Arabidopsis thaliana: one gene and its partner. The protein of the gene in region 1 binds, or shares a complex with, the protein of each later gene. Each region holds a gene or a part of one and is shown on either strand. Other genes may lie near its edges.

Region 1 (3,086 bases):
AAAGAAGTCTGTTGTTGTTGTGACCTTTGAAGATGGAGTTTCATGGCGTAGTTGCTAAGCTGATGAATGATATCCACAAACGAAAACGAAGGGAAAATCAGTAATCCGCTGATTTATAAGATTGATAATTCCGAGAATTTCTAGTAGGCAAGTTAGTTATACCTCTAGCTTATGAACTTGTTCTTGGTACTGCCCCACCACGCCTCTCAAATGCAGTACTTGTTTGGCCTTCTCTTCGTTTTCAGAGCTACGCTGATGTTGATTCGCAATGACCCGCTTCAATATTTGGTTATCATTGATCAAACTCTGTAGACTCTCCTTCATCGACGCATATTCAAGCTGCAATGAATTGGGAGCTCTCTATTTGTTATATTATCTAGGCCCAAGAAAACCTGAGCATTATCAATGTCATCAATTTATACCTTCTTCGAGGCGTTGGTGTTCTTCTTTATGATACTCTCTAAAGCTTCTAAGATCACTGCAACACGTCGCCTCATGTCATCAATGTTTATCGCTTTTGTCATCTCGGATACAAGTCTATCAACCCATTTAGCTCCATCGATCATATCCTCATCGTTCCAACTTTCCACAGATCCATCAAAAAAGCCAGCTTCTGTTCTATCAGAATCCCCATTGAACAAAATTGAGCTTAAACTCTCTTTTGCCTCTTCAAACACGTAATTCTTGTTGCTCATAACCTCTCTGACAAACTAATTCAAGATCCCACCAAAAAACAAAGACTACATTAGCAATAAACTCCCAAAGACTTTTGTAGCAAAACATAACAGCCAAGATCACCAATTTTCATAACACAAGTCACAAAGTAACAAAGACTAATGTTGCATCAAGTTTCTATGCAATCAATGGCTACACAAAACTGTCGCCAATTTTCAGTTTTTCACAACACAGAAGTAACAAAGGCTAATGTTGCATCAAAGTTTCTCTGCAATGCAGGGCTTTGGCTTTGGTTATCACAATGTTAATCTGTAGATGAAGACATATCAATCAATAGCTACACAAAACTGTTACCTAGTTCATTTCATGAAGGAACTACATCAATATAACTTAGCACTTTTTAAATGGAAGATTGATGAACTTAAAGTATATGAAAAGAGCAATTACTGTAGTAGCATTGTTCATCAGTCAAAAATGGAAACTTTACGACACAATATCTAACGAACCTCAGGATCCATGGTAGGGAACACATGGATCAAAGATGCAACCGGGTCATCGGATCCAGACCCGGTTTCAGATGAACGAATCGGCGATCCAAAGCTTGACCATTTGGTTCTCTTATTCGTCGGGGATGATGAAGAAGAAAGGAAGCGACAACGTCGAGCAATTGCAGTGAAGAAGAAAGGAAGAGACAACGACGAGCAATTAAACATATTGTAATATAATTATTAATATTATAGACTGTACAACAAAGTGGCTGTAGTTTAGTGGTAAGAATTCCACGTTGTGGCCGTGGAGACCTGGGCTCGAATCCCAGCAGCCACACTTTCTTTTTTCCTTTTTTGAGAAGTAAAACGACGTCGTTTACCATATTACCAAACGATTTGTTTTTGAGTCAACCACCTCTTTAACCAGAGTCATTCTTCAGTTCTTCTTCTTTTTCGATCTGCTTCGTAGAGTCGATAGAGGGAAGAATCAAAGAAGGAAGTCTGTATCTTTTGAGCTCTCCAAAGGTAAAAACACTCAGAGATTTGATTTGTTTTTTTCGGTCTTTACCTTGGATACGTCATTCTCAGATGGTAGCGAATTTGTAGATCTTAAGGCTTGAATCTATTTCATATGATCAATTACTTATAGATGTGATGATGATGCAACTCTTTCTTTATTTACTGCTATGAGATTCAATCAATTTTTTATTTTTATTTTTGTGTATTCCATGTTTTTGATGTTATACTCATGTCTGGATTTCGTCAAAGTTATTTTCTTTTAGTGATTTTGGTAAAGAAACTTGTTCCTGACGTATGAACCTAATTGTGTTGGACTATGTGCTCCATCTTCATAGAAAATGATGTTGAAAGTGTAGATTGGTGGGTGATTTTTAACAAGTTTTGTCTAAGTCTGATACCAAGCTTCTCATATTGTTAATTGTGTGTGGTGTTACAGATGTTTGACGACCAAGACCTCGGCTTCTTTGCCAATTTTCTGGGGATTTTCATCTTCATAATGGTCATTGCATACCATTTCGTGGTGGCAGAGCCTAAATTCGAATGAGAATGAGGTTTCATCTTTGTTAGTTTCTACAAAAAAAAAACTTATAAATGTGTTGGAATCAATATGTCTTTAGCATTCTATAGGTCGTGATGTTTCGCCAGTAGATGAGTAATCAATGTATTTTGACAATGTGGTTTTGGATGGATTAAGAGTTAAAAGACTTCATTTTTCGTAGTGTTTCAATCATTCAAGTTTTAGTATGCAAGTTTTCTGTTTAGAGCATATTGCATACATGGGCGAATATGGTATACCTGGATTTCCCAGTTCTTCAGGTCTTCTCTGTAGCTCTGTTACTTCTATCACAGTTATCGGGTATTTGAGAAAAAAGAGTTAGCTAAAATGAATTTCTCCATATAATCATGGTTTACTACAGGTTTACTTGATTCGCGTTAGCTTTATCTGCATCCAAAGTTTTTTCCATGATGTTATGTCATATGTGATACCGTTACTATGTTTATAACTTTATACAGTCTGGTTCACTGGAGTTTCTGTGATTATGTTGAGTACATACTCATTCATCCTTTGGTAACTCTCAAGTTTAGGTTGTTTGAATTGCCTCTGTTGTGATACTTATTGTCTATTGCATCAATCTTCTAATGCACCACCCTAGACTATTTGAACAAAGAGCTGTTTCATTCTTAAACCTCTGTGTCTCCTTGCTAAATGGTCATGCTTTAATGTCTTCACCTGTCTTTCTCTTCTATAGATATGTAGTCTTGCTAGATAGTTAGTTCTACAGCTCTCTTTTGTAGTCTTGTTAGAGAGTTAGTTGAGATATTACCTCTTAAAAGTATCCTTGAACGCTTTCCGGTTATGACCAATTTGTTGTAGCTCCTTGTAAGTAGAACTTACTGGGACCA
Region 2 (3,290 bases), on another chromosome or scaffold:
TCGTTATCTAAGGAAAGATTCCAGATCTCTCCATCATCGGAAGTCGTGAAGTGATTTTCAGACCACATAATGTTGAAATTATCTTCAAACGATTGTGTCGGTGTTGCTGCGATAGAGGACGACGCCATTAGAGCCGTCATGAACAAGAACAGAGCCGTCATGGCAGAACAGCTCGTTATGATCCTCCTTTCCGTCTCCATTGGTTGTCTCTACTTCGAATATTTCGAAGAGAGAGAGAGAGAGAGGTAATGCAATCTACACTTGTTCCGTGAGTGAGAAGAGTATAGAGCTTTCTTGCTTTTATTATAAAGACCGGGGAAATGACTGTTTTGACCATTAATAATTCTTTTAATATGCTATTGCGTTTAGACTTTTGATACGGTTTTTTTTCTAAGATTTTCATGTAATAATGATGTTTACGATAATTTGTAAAAGAAAGCAAAAAGGGTAAATGAAAAAGTTTAATTAAAGAAAACTAACAGTAAAACTCAATGATTTTTATGTTAATCAAGTGTAAACTGTTTGGTTATAATACACACGGTTTAGCTAATTAAAAGCCGACCGGTTTATTCATTAAGTTGCTGAGATAGGTCATTTGAACCATATTGATGAGCTAGCAAGGGTACTATAGGAAATATAGAAAACAACAGCAGAACATGGAGAATTGGATCTCCAGGCTGCCACCAAGTGGAAGTGGGATCCATAGAAATGTTCATGTAAAAGCAAAACCAAAAACATTATTTAACTCTGTACTTTAATTCTTTGGTTAATCTTCACTTAGTAAATCTGATATGGGAATATGTCTAACAAAACCCAAATAATATAGGCGAACATGCTTCGGAACATAATATTTTGTTCAACAAAAGAAAGAGTTTGCCTTGCCTCTCTCATATTTTGTTAGCCCAAGACAAGGCACGTGAAACAAGCACGTTATGAATAAGAAAGCAGGGAAATAATACACCTGGAGTTACTAAATTATTAGGTTGACAAAGATTAGTTTATTGGATTGTCTCTTGCATAATCCGGTATTCTTACATTTTTACATAATTACTATTTTTTGTATGGATATGAATGTTTCAGATCTAAGATTGTAGACTGAGGTTTATATAATACCACAAGTATATGCAACTCGACCTTGTTACTTTAGACTATAATAGAGTAGTATTAAGATTATGATAATGACAAAAATGATTTCTTATACATTAATAATACCATTTAAATGATTTACGAGCGATGAAATAAATATGCATGGTCTAGTTTTATGTAAACTCTCTAATCCATGTATGAGTCTCTCTTTTTTGTATTACTAAGTGGTTTCTCATATGTTTCCTGTAAAAGAATCTCAACTTGTCGGCATGTCGGTCCTAATAAGAGAAACCAGAAGTGATCATCAATTTTATTGTTAATTATAGAATGTTTAAGTTTCACATATCATACAACAAGACAGTTTGGCCGAGTGGTCTAAGGCGCCAGATTTAGGCTCTGGTCCGAAAGGGCGTGGGTTCAAATCCCACAGCTGTCAATTTCTTTTCCTTTTTTTCCCTTCTTTAAAACTAAACCCTCTAACTCATCAAGAAGGTTCAATCAAACCTATAAACACCTAGAATTTTGAACAGTTCTTCACTTCTCCAGTATTTCCCGGCAATTCCAGATCTCTCTATCTCCTTTCTTCTTCAAATCCAATCAGAGAGTGATCTAAAAATGGTGATTCAAACGAATCTCTCATATCGTTTCTTCATCTTAATTGTGTTTTTATTTACCCTAGCGAATCCAAAATCAGATTCAGATCTCAAAAACGAACTAGTCTCCCTCCGATCAACCGCCGAATCAGGCGTGATCTCCTTCAACAACGACGACGTTTCCAAATTCATAACCTCCGTATCCACTCCTAGACCTTACTCACTCATCATCTTCTTCGACGCCGTTCATCTCCACGGCAATAGCCAGCTACGTCTTCCAGAGTTCCGCCGCGAATTCAGACTCGTCTCCGCCACTTTCATCACCAACAACAACAATGAATCTAACGGCACAAAGCTCTTCTTCTGCGAGATCGAATCAACTCACTCCGAGGCTTCTTTCCGCCGCTTCGCCGTCGAGTCACTACCACACATTTCCCTCGTTAGCCCCACGACAGAGAATTTAACAGAATCAGATCAAATGGACGGTGGAGATTTCACTGGATTAGCCGAATCAATGGCAGAGTTCGTCGAACGTCAAACAAAACTCACCGTTTGTTCAATCCAACGACCACCACTCATATCAAAGACACAAATCGGAATCATCGTTGCTATAATCATAATCTCGACTCCGATTCTCATCAAGAAGATTCTAAAAGGAGAAACACTTCTCCATGACCATAGAATCTGGTTAGTTGGCGCGGTTTTCGTCTACTTCTTCAGCGTCTCGGGGACAATGCATAACATCATTAGAGAAATGCCAATGTATATCAAAGATTATGAAGATTCAAGTAAGTTTGTTTTCTTTATAGAAGAATCAGAGATGCAGCTTGGAGCAGAAGGTTTCTTTGTAGGGTTTTTGTATACTGTTGTTGGATTGCTTTTGGCGTTTGTTACTAATGTAGTTGTACGAGTCAAGAAACTCGATGAGCAAAGGATGGCTATGCTTTTGGCTCTGTCTATATCGTTTTGGGCTGTGAGGAAAGTTGTTTACTTGGATAATTGGAAGACTGGTTATGAAATTTACCCATATTGGCCATCGAGTTGGCGGGGATGAGTGATCTTCACGTAAGGTTAGTTTTTCAAGATTGTGGAACTGATTAGTTAGTGTTTTGGCTTTCAATACTTGAACATGCATATAGCCAAGTTTATAGTTTAAAGATTCAATAATTGCAGTTTAGGATTCACGAATTTGTGCTAACTAGAGGAATGATTGCTCGAAGACTTATAATGCTTATGGTGTTGCTTTGCATCCATTGAGAAAGAGTACTCTACCAAATAATCGTTGCTTTACTATGTGTGAAGGTTTGGAAAAAGATTGTATGCAATACTTGACCCACAAGAAACCTTCTTAAAAGTGAAAAGATTCTCTCTTTGTTCTTTTCTTCCAGCTTTGTTTAAAGTTAAGCATCTAATTCCTTCACACCCTAGAATTTAATTACTTAAGAGAGCTCATGTTAATATTACTACTGTTTGGTTTTGCTAAGAAAATCAATTTTATTTTGGAAATTTTGACTATGGCAGAGACAAATAAAGGAATTGAAGAAGAAGTGGCAAGTGCTTTTGTGAATCACTACTACCATCTCTTTGACAACGATCGATCATCGCTTTCTT

Evidence for each region.
Region 2: AT5G02502 (region 1) and AT1G11560 share a complex: the UniProt entries of both Arabidopsis thaliana proteins name them as parts of the oligosaccharyltransferase (OST) complex.

Annotation. Positions count from the first base shown.
Region 1 is NC_003076.8:557,744-560,829, reverse strand, and holds AT5G02502 (Oligosaccaryltransferase), read left to right. Parts: upstream 1-1,594; 5' UTR 1,595-1,688; intron 1,689-2,118; coding exon 2,119-2,226; 3' UTR 2,227-2,545; downstream 2,546-3,086. Other genes in the region: AT5G02510 (UDP-glucose 6-dehydrogenase), read right to left, coding at 1-59, 163-339, 423-710, 1,182-1,388. UniProt on the Arabidopsis thaliana protein: Subunit of the oligosaccharyl transferase (OST) complex that catalyzes the initial transfer of a defined glycan (Glc(3)Man(9)GlcNAc(2) in eukaryotes) from the lipid carrier dolichol-pyrophosphate to an asparagine residue within an Asn-X-Ser/Thr consensus motif in nascent polypeptide chains, the first step in protein N-glycosylation.
Region 2 is NC_003070.9:3,880,087-3,883,376, forward strand, and holds AT1G11560 (Oligosaccharyltransferase complex/magnesium transporter family protein), read left to right. Parts: upstream 1-1,540; 5' UTR 1,541-1,701; coding exon 1,702-2,733; downstream 2,734-3,290. Other genes in the region: XTH8 (xyloglucan endotransglucosylase/hydrolase 8), read right to left, coding at 1-200; NTL (NTF2-like protein), read left to right, coding at 3,131-3,290. UniProt on the Arabidopsis thaliana protein: Subunit of the oligosaccharyl transferase (OST) complex that catalyzes the initial transfer of a defined glycan (Glc(3)Man(9)GlcNAc(2) in eukaryotes) from the lipid carrier dolichol-pyrophosphate to an asparagine residue within an Asn-X-Ser/Thr consensus motif in nascent polypeptide chains, the first step in protein N-glycosylation.